Canis lupus familiaris: one gene and its partners. The protein of the gene in region 2 purifies or fractionates together with the protein of the main gene of each other region. This does not show direct contact. Links are inferred from orthologs where the notes say so. Each region holds a gene or a part of one and is shown on either strand. Other genes may lie near its edges.

Evidence for each region. Proteins that work in one complex are often made in the same cells at the same time.
Region 1: the proteins of CUL1 (region 2) and FBXO21 purify together in Homo sapiens (affinity purification with mass spectrometry; 6 studies listed by BioGRID and IntAct, with this or other methods). This does not show direct contact. The link is inferred for Canis lupus familiaris from reciprocal best matches to the Homo sapiens genes CUL1 and FBXO21.
Region 3: the proteins of CUL1 (region 2) and FBXL6 purify together in Homo sapiens (affinity purification with mass spectrometry; 4 studies listed by BioGRID, with this or other methods). This does not show direct contact. The link is inferred for Canis lupus familiaris from reciprocal best matches to the Homo sapiens genes CUL1 and FBXL6.

The regions. Positions count from the first base shown.
Region 1 is NC_049247.1:14,101,476-14,105,947, forward strand, and holds the start of FBXO21 (F-box only protein 21), read right to left. Parts: upstream 2,872-4,472; 5' UTR 2,850-2,871; coding exon 2,611-2,849; intron 2,102-2,610; exon of another isoform or gene 1,943-2,101; intron 1,831-1,942; coding exon 1,695-1,830; intron 1-1,694. UniProt on the Homo sapiens protein: Substrate-recognition component of the SCF (SKP1-CUL1-F-box protein)-type E3 ubiquitin ligase complex.
Region 2 is NC_049237.1:1,740,532-1,745,227, forward strand, and holds the start of CUL1 (cullin-1), read right to left. Parts: upstream 2,925-4,696; 5' UTR 2,658-2,924; intron 2,530-2,657; exon of another isoform or gene 2,405-2,529; intron 2,387-2,404; exon of another isoform or gene 2,147-2,386; intron 1,119-2,146; exon of another isoform or gene 1,054-1,118; intron 1-1,053. UniProt on the Homo sapiens protein: Core component of multiple cullin-RING-based SCF (SKP1-CUL1-F-box protein) E3 ubiquitin-protein ligase complexes, which mediate the ubiquitination of proteins involved in cell cycle progression, signal transduction and transcription.
Region 3 is NC_049234.1:38,533,471-38,538,090, forward strand, and holds the start of FBXL6 (F-box/LRR-repeat protein 6), read right to left. Parts: upstream 2,872-4,620; coding exon 2,477-2,871; intron 2,261-2,476; coding exon 2,102-2,260; intron 1,944-2,101; coding exon 1,880-1,943; intron 1,580-1,879; coding exon 1,448-1,579; intron 1,374-1,447; coding exon 1,266-1,373; intron 1,181-1,265; coding exon 1,067-1,180; intron 999-1,066; coding exon 767-998; intron 682-766; coding exon 435-681; intron 167-434; coding exon 16-166; 3' UTR 1-15. Other genes in the region: SLC52A2 (solute carrier family 52, riboflavin transporter, member 2), read left to right, coding at 3,704-3,833, 3,922-4,620.

The DNA of each region.
Region 1 (4,472 bases), on a different chromosome or scaffold from region 2:
CCAGCTGGACTAGAAGTAGAGGTTGCAAACTAGTAGCCCATGAACAAGGGCATCAAATACATCTAGCATCCAAATACATGTGTGTGCAAACACATCTGTACAGGTTTAAAATCTGATATGAATGCTTTTGGCCAGGGCATGGCTTACCTAGAATAGAACATAAATTCTGTCCATCCTAATATCAACCAACGCTTATTTATAGAAATTACACTGGGGGCTCCTGGGGGGCCCAAGCAGTTAAGTGTCCAACTCTTGATTTCGGCGCAGGTCCTGAGATCAAGTTCTGCTTCTGGCTCTGCGCTCAGTGCCCAGCTGGCTTGCCATCCCCTCCCGACACCCTCCACTTGCTCTGACTCTAGCTCCTGCTCTCTAATAAAGAAATAAAATCAAAAAAAAAAGAAATGAATTACACTGGAGGATATCTAGCTTTATTTTCTACAGGAGAATAAGTTCAAATTTGTCCAAAGTTCAGATTTTCCTTTCAAAACTTGAAAAGCCTTGAAAATGTTTCTCATGTGTGAATCCATGAAATAACATTAATTAAAATTAGAAAACAGGAAATTAATCTGGGTGCCCTGCTAGTTCAGTCAGGACAACATGCAATTCTTGATCTCAGGGTTGTTAAGTTCAAGCCCCATATTGAGTGCAGAGATTACTTAAAAAATAAAATCCTAAAAAATAGAGAAAGAAAAGAGGAAGTAATCTTCAGTAAACCAGGATAGTAAAAAAAAAAAAAAAAAAAAAAAAGGATAGTAAAATAAATCAGGGGCGCCTGGCTGGCTCACTCAGTAGAGCATGTGACTCTTGATCTCAGGGTCCTGAGTCCAAGCCCCACACTGGGCATACAGTTTACTCAAAACAAAACAAACCTCAAACCCAATAAATAAATAAATCAGACCGGCTCTACTTCTAGACCCTCAATCAGAAATAAATTTAAAATATTAGTGTGAACTACTTCCCAGAATTACAAAAAGTTAAGACTCATGGCCTAATACAGAAACTCCTGAGATACTTTGTGGGGAAAACAAAAGCAACAACAAAAACCCGGGCGTTTCAGCAATATTTTTAAGAACCACAAAAACTTATCAGGGTTAAAGAATACTAGATAATTTAACAGAGGGAGTAAGAATTCTTATTTACAACAGATAGCTTCTAGTTCTGTTATCTTAAGAAATAATGCTATTCACTACTGGTTTAGAACCTGCAAAGCCAGAGAGAAGAAAAAAAACCGAATGAGTTTCGTCAACCCTTCTGGGAAAACAACTGGGTGAAATCTGTAGTGTTCCATCCCTGGTGATCCCTTAGCTGAAGCGGAGGCTGTAAAAAAGATGTTTAACCTCCTGAGAAGAGACATAATGCTGATCCGGATCCCCTCTACATTGTGCTGTGGGTCCCTCCCTCCCTCTCCACCCCCATTCTCTCTCTCTCTGGCTTTAGAAAAAGTAAAGCTGGCAGGGACAAATGGCTTCGTGTTGCTGGAGAGGAGGACACAATGACTCTTGCGGCCATCTAAGTGAGTCAGGGATTGGGAGAGAACTGAAAAAGGGCTATCAGAAGGAGCTGGATGAGCTAATGCCTACGGGCCCGGACACACACACACACACACACACACACACACACACACACACACACACACGGCTACCAGGCAAAAGAGGGGGGCGGGCGGGGCGGGGGCTACATCAACAGATCCTTACGTGCTCTGAAAAGAACCTCTTTGAGAATGAGGCTACAATCTTCCGGGCTTCTAACCCAGCTTTTTGCCGAACTTTATACTCCTCCAGCCAATTGACGTAGTCGGTGGGGCTGTAGTGTTTCATAAGGGAAGGCCACCTACAAGGAGAGAAACACCCTCTCAGCTTCACGGAGACACTGAAGGCGGCCTCGAGAAGCAGGGGCAGCAGGGGCCCCGGCGGGGGACCCAGCACGCGGCTCGCGGCATGACCTTGGGGGAAGCAGGCCGAGGAATGCGGAGTCTCCACTGCCCGTCTAGGAAATGGGGGCAGCTGCAGCCACAATAACAGTGACGACCGATCGCGCCTCCCGAGAGCCGGGCCCTGTGTCAACGCTCCTCACGCATCATCCGTGTAATGACCGCAGTGAAACACGGGTCTGGCGATCCCCGCGTAAAGTCGATGAACGAGGCTCCAAAGAAAGGGAAGTGCCCCCCCCCCCCCAAGGTCATCCGGCAAGTGTGCGGGAGCCGGATTTACCCGGGTCCCACCCCGAGGTCCGTGCTGCGGGCCCGCGGCCGGGATGCTGCGTCCGCCTCCCCGGCTGCGGGCGAGGACCCGGCGGCGCGGGATCCGTGTCGGCGCGCTGGCCCGGAGCCGGGCACAAAGGAGCGCTCAGGGCGGCGGGGCGGCGGTCCCCGCGGCGTCGCGGTGGGTGCACGGCGGGCCCGGGCCGCGCAATCCGGGCGGCGGCGGGGGGCGGCGGGGGCCGGCGGGGAGCCCCGGGCCCGGGGCCGGCGGCCTGGAGGCCTTTGTCTGCGGCCCGCCGAGGGGGTCGGCGCGGGCGGCGAGGCGGGGGCGCGGGCGGGCCGCGGCCGGGCCCGGGGGGGCGGGGGCGGGGGCGCGGGCGCGGGCGCGGGGGCGCGGGCGGCGGGCTCACCTCACCCGGAACTGCTCCTTCCACACCTTCCCGCTACTCTGGCACAGCTCGCGCAGCCGCCGGCAGGTGCTGGACACGCGGCCGATGTCGGCGGCCGTCAGCGAGCCGCTGCACAGGATGTACTCCAGCACCTCGCCGGGCAGGTTGACCAGACAGCTGAGGCCCGCCGCCTCGGGCGCGGCCTCCTCCGCCAGCGCCGGCACCACCTCCATCGCGCTGTCGACCGCTGCCGCCGCCATCTTGTCCGCGTACCTGGGCCCGCCGCGCGCGCGCGCCAGGGCGCCCCGCCTCGCCCCGCCCACCCGCCTCGAGGGGCGGGCTCGGGGGTAGCCCCGCCCCCTCCCCGTGGCCACGCCCCCTGGGCCCGGGCCGCGGCCGGCGGCTGGCGGCTGGCGGAGGGAAGCGCGTTCTTTCTGTTTTTTTTTAATTGGCGTTCGATTTGCCAACATATAGCACAACAGCCAGCGCTCATCCCGTCAACTGCCCCCCCCAGTGCCCGCCACCCGGTCACCCCCACCCCCGCCCGCCTCCCCTCCCACCACCCCTAGTTCGTTTCCCAGAGTTAGGAGTCCCTCATGTTCTGTCTCCCTTTCTGATATTTCCCACTCATTTTTTCTCCTTTCCCCTTTATTCCATTTCACTATGTTTTATATTCCCCAAATGAACGAGACCATATAATGTTTGTCCTTCTCCGACTGACTTACTTCACTCAGCATCATACCCTCCAGCTCCAGCCACGTCCAAGCAAATGTGGGTCTTTGTCGTTTCTCAAGGCTGAGGAATATCCCACTGTATACATAGACCACAGCTTCTTTATCCATCATCCTTCGATGGACACCGAGGCTCCTTCCACAGTTTGGCTATTGTGGCCATTGCTGCTAGAAACATCGGGTGCAGGGACCCCCGGGTGGCTCAGCAGGTAAAGTGCCTGCCTGCAGCCCGGGGCCTGATCCCGGAGGACGTCAGGCTCCCTGCATGGGGCCTGCTTCTCCCTCTGCCTGTGTCTCTGCCTCTCTCTCTGTCTGTTCTCTCATGAATGAATAAATAAAATCTTCAAAAAAAATAAAAAATAAACATCGGGTGCGGGTGTCCCGGCATTTCAGTGCATCTGTATCTTTGGGGTAAATCCCCAGCAGAGCCATTGCAAACTGTGGTGTGGCTCTGGGAGCTGCGAACCTGCGATCTTTTTCTTTTCTTTTCTTTTCTTTTTTTTAAGATTTTATTTATTTATTCATGATAGACCTAGAGAGAGAGAGGCAGAGAGACACAGGCAGAGGCAGAAGCAGGCTCCATGCCAGGAGCCCGACGCAGGATTCGAGCCCGGGACCCCAGGATGCGCCCTGGGCCAAAGGCAGGCGCCAAACCGCTGAGCCACCCAGGGATGCTGAGCCACCCAGGGATCCCCCCGAACCCGCGATCTTAACAGAATCCATCTTTCTTGTGCGTCCTCAGCACTTCCTGTGCATGAGCTCAGCGGTCCTTCCCAATATCCCTCTCAGCTCTTATCTCCCCAAATTACAGGTGGGGGAAACTGAGTTTCAGACAGATAAGCTTGCTCAGAATCCCGTGATCTAGGGATCCCTGGGTGGCGCAGCGGTTTAGTGCCTGCCTTTGGCCCAGGGCGCGATCCTGGAGATCCGGGATTGAGTCCCACGTCGGGCTCCCAGTGCATGGAGCCTGCTTCTCCCTCTGCCTGTGTCTCTGCCTCTCTCTCTCTCTCACTGTGTGCCTATCATAAATAAATAAAAATTAAAAAAAAAAAAAAAAAAAAAAAAGAATCCCGTGATCTAGATGTTAATTCAGAGCTCTTCGCGTCTGCTTGAGTGTGCTCTAAACAAGTGTGTCGTAATAACAGCTAATTT
Region 2 (4,696 bases):
TCTGCAGCCCACATCAGAAGTGGTCAAACACTGGGTATCAGAATCATTCCAGATTTACTCATTCAAAAGACAACTGGGATACCAAGTTCCATGCTACTTTGGGGAGGCAAAAGGAAGGCATATCCCCTACCTTCAAGGAATTCATAGCCTGAAATGCATAAAGGCTGCAATGACAACACTAAGTTAATCACCTCTAGCAGACAATATTCAGCAAGAGGCAAAGGAGTCTTAGGGGCTGTGACATGGAAGCAGACTGCAGAACCAGTACAGCCATTCCTGTGTCCCTCTGGCCTCTTGATGTGGCCTCCCAGACATTAGGACTGAGAGACACGGCTGCAAGGACCTGAGCATGTGGCTGAGAGAGGGAGGGTATTCAAAATTAAAAGCCTAAGCCTGTCTACAGTGTCTCCTTTTTCTTTTCGGCAAAATCGTTTTTAAAAGACGGTGCCGACGAGGAAAAAAACGTCTAATATTTTCAGAGAGTAATTCTCTCAGACTTGATGCGCAGTCTCCCGAAACCTCCAAAAATGGGCACGGTGGGGTTTAAAGCTTGCGCGCTTGGGAACTGGAAATGCGGTGCTATTTGACTTAACGGGGAAAGCAACAAATAGCACTTCCACTTAAAAAAAAAAAAAAAAAAATCCTAATATCCAAGCACCCTTTTTTAAACAAAGAAAACCCAAAATTCCTTTTTCCACAAAACGGCTGGTTTTGCTTTTCAACATTTCCGCTCTCGCTACACAAAGCCATAAGCTCTCCAGCGTTTCAGAGAATCAGGTAGACAAGGGGGAGGAGGTGTTAAACTTAGAACTGCACACGCTGCGGCGGGGCGTTTTGGGAAAGGGTTAGGTCCCACACACTCAGGGCTCGAGGTAACAGCGAATTTAGTCGCCCTTCTGTCACTCCGCTAAGAGCGTTTCCAACAACAGCGTGGCCACTTACTCCACTCTTCACTTTGTCTCAAACGCCACACTCCAGGGAAGGGGCAATTACACGCAGCAGCAAATACAGGACTTGAGGACGCCGACTGCAATTCCGTATTTGCACACTTACCACCGCTAACCCCAAACTACGAACTAAAGAGCAACCGCCTCGTGATCCAATCGGAACAGAGAATCCTGTTTTTGGCAAAAGAGAGAGAGAGAGAGAGAGAGAGAGAGAGAAAACCCTCAACTTTGGGGCTCAAGTCTCCAGGAATGTTCCTCAAGCGCCTCCCTCTCCCTTTAACCATGTGGGCCACCGACCCCGGCGCGGCACAGGTGGGGGGGGGCGACCCCGCCCGCGCCGGGTTACCTGCGGGGTCAGCGCGCGCTCCCGCCGGGCGCAGGGCCGGGGGCGCGCCGAGGCCCGGCCCGACTCGCGGGCGCCGGGGGGGGGGGGGCACCGGGGGGCGCCGAGGGTCACCGGGGGCTCCGTCCCGCCGGCCGCCGCGCCCGCACCCGCGCGCCTCCCCGGGCCGAGCGGCGACTGTTGCCCAATAATCGCGACCTGCCCCGTCGCAACAATGCGGGGGGGACCCCGAGAGCAGAGCCCGGCTCCCCGGCTGCCCGGCTGCCCGGCTCCCCGGCGCGCGAGCCCTGCACTTTCTTGAGCGCGAGTCGGAGGGGGAAGCGCCGCGCGGGGGACTAGCGGCCCGGGGGGGGGGGATGGGGGCGAGCCCGGGCGCCCCGAGGGGCCGCCGCACGACAGGCCGGGCCCGGTCGCCGCCGGGGGAGAGGCCGGCGCCGCAAGGCCGGCGCCTCTGACGCTCAGACGCGATGAATCGGGCTTTTTTTTTTTTTTTTTAAATCCCCACCCCGCGCCCCAGTGCGTAGTCCAGGCCTGGCCGCACCGAGCCCGCGGCCCGCGCAGGCCGCAGCCGGCCGGGGTGACTCAGGCCCGGGCCCCGCTCGCTCCCCTCGCGCCCCGGCGTCCTCCGCCCACGAGTCCGCCGGCCCGGCCGCCATGCCGGCCCGCGGCGCCTCAGGCCTCGCCGGGCGCCTGTGCTCGGCCGCCGCGGCCCCGTCACTGCGACACCGCGGCTCCGGCCCGGGCCTGCGCCGCCGCCGCCGCCGCCGCCCGCCCCACCCGCCCCGGCCCCGGCCCCGGCCCCGGCCCCGGCCCCGGCCCCGGCCCCGCGCCGCCAGGCCGCCCGGCCGCCACTCACCCGCATCTCCCTGCGGCCTAGAGGGCTCGGCGACGCCTCCGCCTGGCCGCCGGGCCGGCCCCGGTCGCCTCCCCGTCCCGCCGACGTCTGGCCGCGTCCCTCAGCGCGGGGCCGCCCCGCCTGGAGCTGCGCGCGACACGGCGCCCGCCTCCCCCGCCTCCCCCTGCCCGCCGCCGCCGCCGCCGCCGCCGCCGCCCGCGCCGCGCAACCTCCGCCCTCTCGCCTCCCCTCCGCCGCTCCCCGCCCTCCCGGCCTCACCGGCTCCGGCTCCCGCGGGGGAGAGGCTGCGGGGGGAGGGCCGGAACGCGCCGCCATCGGCGTCCGGGGCGGGGGAGCCGGGAAACCGCCGCCGCCATCTCCTCACAAGCCCGCGGCGCGGGAGGGGCCCGGAAGCCTCCCCGCGGCGCGGCCCTGCCCTGCCCTGCCCTGCCCTGCCCTGCCCCCGGGGGCGCCCCCCCGCGCCCCCCGCGCCCCCGCGCCCCCGCGCCCCCGCGACCGGCCGGCTCCCTACCTGGACGCCCGCGGCCCCGATCCTCTCCGGGCGCCTCCCGAGACCCGGCTTCCCGCCACTTCGGACCTCACGAGGAGGGGTCACCTTTCTAGGTCACGGGGGGCGGGGAGGGCACCCGCGTCTGGAGGAGCGGCCCCGAAACACCCTCGAGGGGGGCCTTGCGCCTCCTGCCTCCGGGGGCGGGGGCTCCGAGCCCCGGGACACCTGCGGCCCTGCAGCCCGTACCTGAAAGCCTGGGCCCAGCGGGGCGCGCCCCGCTCCCGAGGGAGCCTCCCCCCGAGAGAAACGCGGCGAGGACGCTGCCCTGCGCTGAACGCTTCAGCCAACTCCGTTTGGGCCCGCGACGAGGAGACACCCATCAGGACGCGCGGGAGGCTCCCCAGGTGTGCGTGGTCGGCGGCGACCTCAGAGAAAACGTCTTCACGTGTCCCCTGGAGCCGCGAACGGCAGCCAGGTGACATCAACGGGCGCTCGGGGCCTCGGGGCCTCGGAACGACTCTAAAACACTAATTTCGGCAGCACAGCCAGCCGCCGGGCGCCTTCCGAGGGGGACAGAGGACGGGGCAAGCACGCTCGCCTGCGACGACCCCCGCCACGGACCAGGGAGCCGGCCCACCCCGCGAACACGCGAGGAAGGATTCCCAATTGGCCTATCTGGGCAAAAGATGTGGTGGATGTAACTTCCTGTTTTGCTTCAAACTAAAACAGAACAGGGATTCTGCTACGAGTACCTTGGGGTGCAAGCCCTAGGCCTACAGCACAAAGCTGCCCCCAGAGCCCACAGTTTATCCTCAGTAATAGGGGTTTTCCTTAGAAGAACCATCCCGCCGGTGCCATGTGGTTCCTTCTATCGAGATGTGGTCTCTGGGAACACCGAGGTGCCTTTGGAAGTACTGCACTTCCCCAAAGTGTGTAACCTCGGCCTGTGCAAGGGTGTCAAAATTCTTGGTTTATCTACTATCCTTATAAATAACCTAGTCAAAAGAACACTTACATCCATTTAGCCATGTTTCGTGGGCACATGGTAAGACTGGAAGTAAAAATGCAAGGCTTGTCCCCGTGGACAGTGCTTTCCACGACACATATATGGCTTCCCGTTTACAGCTTTCATTTCTTCCCTTTTCCCTTTTTACTGGAACCTGAGCTTTCCTCAGACAATAACCCATCTCATCCCCCATAACCTGTGTTCTTCAATATTCTCATTCCATACGGCCTCCTTGCCTGGCACCTCACACAACTAATGTACCAGCTGAGTGGGCCACCTCTCCCTTTACTGTGTATCCCATTCTCTGCTTTTCTTGGAGAGAAGTATTTCATCCACCCATACCACCCTCTCCGCTTCTCCCTGCCTTGGTCCAGGTTGTTGACTTCCTTCTGTCCTTTACTCTCTACCCATCCGCACTATCATTCTTAGCAGTTAGACTATTCCATTGGCTTTTATTGCCCCTTCACAACCAGGCTGCATCTACACCCCTCCTACTCTGGGCGTGTGACCTTGCCTTAGACCTAACAGATCAAGGCCATCTACTCTCTTTTCACTCCAAAAAATCCTTTCCCCATCTTCTCTACCCCCATCTTGGCAAAATTGATGTCCTCCTTTCAGATGACACGAAGTTTGGAGGGATGAATGACCTGGGTAGATGTCAGAATCAAAACTCAAAATAGTCTCAGACTAGAATATTAGGCCCAAACCAATGAAATAAAATATAACTTTTTACAATATAACCTTATGATATGATGAAGTTTTAGATTTAGGCAGACCCTGGTTTATATCCAGACTCAAACTATGTTTTCCTCTAGTTAAGTCAGCTGTTAGAATGGCGGTAAAAAGCCCTACCTCTTAAGGTTGTTGGAAAGAGTAATTCCTCTAAAATCCCAGCATAATTCCCAAACACTAAGTATTAGTTCCCTTTCTTTCCTTGTCTCCCATAAAGTATCTTCCATTTTCTAAATCCTGGGGGCCTGAAAACTCAAAATTCTGGCTCATTTACCTTGTACCCCAGAGCTGGTCACCACATCCTAGAGGAATCCTCTATTTT
Region 3 (4,620 bases), on a different chromosome or scaffold from region 2:
GGGGTCTGGAGCTGCCTAGCTGGAGGAGGGGAGGCTGGTGAGCAGCTGCTCCAGGCACCACTGGACTTCCTCCTGGCCTCGGTAGGCCCGCTTCAGGCCCCGAGGAAGGCAGCGGCAGGACTCCAGGTTGAGATAGAGCAGGCCTGGGCAGCTGCTGATGACAGAGCTGTGGGGGCAGGGCACACCATGGGGAGTCGAGCCGCTGGTTCCCAAAAGACCCAGGCCCCGCTGGGGCTTGGCCAAGGTAAGAAGCCCTCTCTGCCCAGGCGCCACACCTGGCTCTGCCACCCACAGCCACCGAGGCCCAAGCCCAGTACCCTTGGTGTCCCTAATGTCCATCCTAAACAGGAGCTTGGCCAACACGTGCTCCCCTTTTGTAAACTGAAACTTGCAAGCCGTACTGACTCCAAGAGACCGGGAATGGGGATGCTGACCTGACTGTGCTTGGTGTGACCCGAGTGCCCCTGAGGTTGACAGAGCATAGGGCTGGGTGTGAGCCCCCACGGGTGGCTGAGAAGGCAGCCAAGGCCTGCTCCAGGTCTTTCTCACTGAAGCCCTGGCCACTCAAGTCCAGTTCCCGCAGAGTGTGGCACCACTTCTGAGTCAACAGGTGGCTGCCCTCTTTGGCTAGAGTCAAGCGATCTGACGTGCCATAAAGACCCAAGTGAAGCTGTTCTAGCTCTGCAAGGGAAGAGTGGTCATGAGTCTTGGGGCGGCAAGGGTGCCCACATCCCTCCCGCCCAGCCACCATCCAGAGAAAGCTGACCCTGACACGGCAGATCGTGCAGGCCGGCAGGTGTGATGCGGGCACAGCCACGAAGATCCAGCAGGCGCAGGTTAGGGGAGCCGTGGAGCAGGCGGCCCAGGGCCTCGTTGCTTACAAAGTTGCAGGTGGAACCGGCGAGGCAGAGCTCCTCAAGGCTGGGGAAGCCTGGGCCAGGAGTCACCACTCGCCCGGAAGGCTTGGGCAGCCACATCAGGTTTAGGAGCCGCAGCACCTGGAGCGAGGCCCAGGCTGCAGACGGGAAGGGAGGGTGGCAGGTGGGAGAGGCGGGGTGTCAGGTACCTGCAGCTGGGGGCAGCCCTTCTGCAGCCCCTCAACAGGCAGCTGGAGAGGAGTGCTGCTGCGGTTGATGCCGGTGCTCACCTCCAGGACCTGGAGCTGGGGGCAACAGCTGCCCTGCAGAGATGGAGGAGAACAGATTCAGCGGCCTGGCTGTGCCGGGCTCAGCATCCCGCTCTGCTGCCGCCCATCACCAACCTACCAGAAGCGCACCCAGGATGGCTGTTGTCTGGGAGCTGTAGGTCAGCCACAACTTGCGCATTCGGGGCCCTGCCTCCTCCAAGAAGCTCACCACGGCTGTGGACTCCACCTGGGAACCCAGCACATGGGTACCCGTCCCTTTGGCCCAGGCTTCTTCAGGGCCCCTGGGGACACAGGGCTCACCATGGAGTGCTGTATGTCCAGGCTGTGGAGCTGAGGGCAGGCTTTGGCTAGCATAATCAGAGTGTCAGAGGTTACACCATGGCAATCGGAAAGCTTGAGGAAGGTGAGCCGAGGACAGGACTCGCTAACCAGCTGTGGAAGACAGAATACCACCAGAGATTGGGAGAGGTCATGTGTCCACAAAGGAAAAAACCAGTGGCCAACACCAAACCCTCACTACTGCCTCAGCTATGACCTCCTTTCTGCCCATGGCAGGCCAACATGGTGCTCCCAGTTCTGACACCTCCCTGCTGAAAGAAACAACAGGAAAGGAGGCCCAGGCAGGCATCCCCGTGGGGCAACACTGGGCTCCAGGTGCCTGACCACTTCCTGGAAGTACTGGGCAATCCCAAAATGTCATGGCTGGTGGGCAGGGCAGCCTGGAGCTCTCACCTTCAACACGGGGTGTACCTGGGACTTCCAGTGGATGAGGGTCAGCCTCTGGAGCTGCGAGAACCTGGGCCGACAGCAGAGGCAGAGCTGCACGGTGTTCCCACGCTGCCCGACAGCGGCGTCCCCACCCACCCCTTCCGCTAGGGAGACACACACAGCCGCTGGCTTTCTACCAGCCGCCGACAGGAAGCCAGGGAAGAAAGAAAAGAGAGAAGGTCTCACCGATTGGGCATAAGCCACTCCAGGGAGGCGAGAAGCTTCTTCTCGGCCTTGGCTTCACTCTTGGCGAGGCGGCCAGCCGGCGACGGTGACAGGGTCACGGTGTGCCAGAGCGCAGGCTGGGAGGCCGCCTGGTGCCAGCGGCGGCACACGCGAGCAGCCCTGGGAGGAGACCTGGGCTGAGGGGCTGCGACGAGACCGCGGTCCCCGTCGTCCTCACCAGGCTGCAGACAGCTCGGCTGCAGGGCCGGCCCTGGGCTCTCTGTGGACCCCCGAAAGGCTGCGCTCTGTCCCCCGCGGTGCCCCCGCCGCGGCCACCCGCCCGCTGGGCAAGAGGTCAGCTGGACCGTGCCGCTGCGCCCCCCGGGCCTGAGGTACCTGCCGAGGAAGGGCACGGGCCCATCGGCCGCCACCAGCAGCCCGAAGATCTGCAGGAGAATTTCCAGGGGGATGCGGTCGCCCCAGCCCGGGTCGGGCCCCGGCGGCGGCTCCGGGGCGGGCGCCATTCTAGGTCTGGCCTTGGCGCCCGGGGCGCGGGGCGCGGGGGCCGGCTGCCGCTGAGCGCGGCGGGCGGCGCGCCGGTGCACGCGGGGACGGGCAGGCCCCGGGCCCGGCAGCACCAGCAGCATGCTGTCCGACTGCAGCAGGTGGTACCCGGAGCCGCTCGGCGCCAGCTGGTCCCACCACCAGTCCTCGGCCGAGCGAGCCCGCTCCCCGGCCGGCTGCGCGCCCCGAACCCGGCGCCGGGCCCGTCGCGCCGCCCCGGCAGCCATAGCTCCCAGCAGAAGCCCCCTGCCGCCCCGGGGCGGCGGAAGGGGCGGGTCCCGCGGCGGAAGGGCGGGGCCTGGGCCGACACGCCCCGCGCCCGACTTCCGAGGCGGGACTTCCGGCTGCGGCCTCGCGGGAGGCCGAGGCGGGCTGCGCGGCCTGCGGCTTCCTGCGGTCTGGCTGTGGGGTGGGCGCTCGGTCCGGCGGGGCAGTGGTTCCCGGCCCCCGCCCCCGGCTCCGGGCCCGAGGCGCCGCCGGTGGAGCGTGGCGAGACGCCTGGCTGTCGGGGCGGGGGGCGCCCGGCAGCTCTGCGCCGCCCACCGGACGCCGCGAGGGGCGGTGCGGGGCCCGCCCCCTCCCGAGGACACGCCCCCGTCCGTGGACACGCCCCCTCCCCGCGGACCCGCCTTCGCTCCCGCCGGCCCGGGGCTCGCAGAAGCCTGGAACTCTCGCCGGGGCGGAGCGGCAGCCGAGGTGTGCGCGGCGCTGGGGATCCCCGTCCCGGGTCCGGGTCCGCCCCGGGGGCGGGCGGTGGTGGCCCGAGCAGCGCAGGCGGGGCGTGGGGCCCCCTCCCCGCGTGCTGCCGGGGCCCCGCGTGCTGCGCCTCCTGCCGCTAGCGCGTTCCGGGTGCGCCGCCCCGGCACCGTCGAGGCCCGCTGGCCCTGCTCGTCGCCGTGCAGGTCTGTCTGACGTGTGGCCCCGCGTCCGCGTCTGTTTTCTTCGAGGTGTCGGAGGCCTTGGGGTCGCGGCAGAGCCGGAGCGTGCGCTCGGGCCGAGGCGGGGACGGAGGAGCAGGCCGTGACCCTGGGCTGTGCTGCGGGGCCCAGCGCGGGCCGGATGGCAGCACCCCGGCTGGGCCGCCTCTTGTCGACACACCTGCTGGTGGCCCTCTTTGGCATGGGCTCTTGGGCTGCCATCAACGGGATCTGGGTGGAGCTGCCCGTGGTGGTGAAAGACCTTCCCGAGGGTGAGCGGGGCGTGCAGGGGGCGCGCAGGGGGCGGGGGTTGGCTGCCCTGAGCTGCCGCCTCTCACCGCTGCTCTCCCCTCCCCGCAGGTTGGAGTCTGCCGTCCTATCTGTCTGTGCTGGTGGCGCTGGGGAACCTGGGTCTGTTGTTGGTGACTCTGTGGAGGCGGCTGGCTCCGGGCAAGAGCGAGCGGGTCCCCATCCAGGTGGTACAGGCGCTGAGCGTTGTGGGCACAGCCCTGCTGGCCCCACTGTGGCACCACGTGGCCCCCATAGCGGGGCAGCTCCACTCCGTGGCCTTCCTGACGCTGGCCTCCGTGCTGGCCCTGGCCTGCTGTGCCTCTAATGTCACCTTCCTGCCCTTCCTGAGCCACCTGCCACCTCCCTTCCTGCGCTCCTTCTTCCTGGGTCAGGGCCTCAGCGCCCTGCTGCCCTGTGTGCTGGCCCTACTGCAAGGCGTAGGCCACCTCGAATGTCTGCCAGCTTCTTCCAATGGCACCCTCTGGCTCCCCAACGACTTCCCAGAGCGTTTTCCCGCCAGCACCTTTTTCTGGGTGCTGACCGCTCTTCTGGTCACTTCGGCTGCCGCCTTCCAGGGTCTGCTGCTGTTGTTGCCATCACCGCCATCTGCATCCACAGCAGGTCTGGGGTCTGACCTGCGGGTGAGGACCCCAGGAGTGGAGGAGGAGGAGGAGGAGGAAGAGGCTTCACCGCTGCAGGAGTCACCGAACCAAGCAGCAGGCGCCCCTCCCAGCCCAGACCCTGACGCCCATCGGCTGCTCTCCGTCC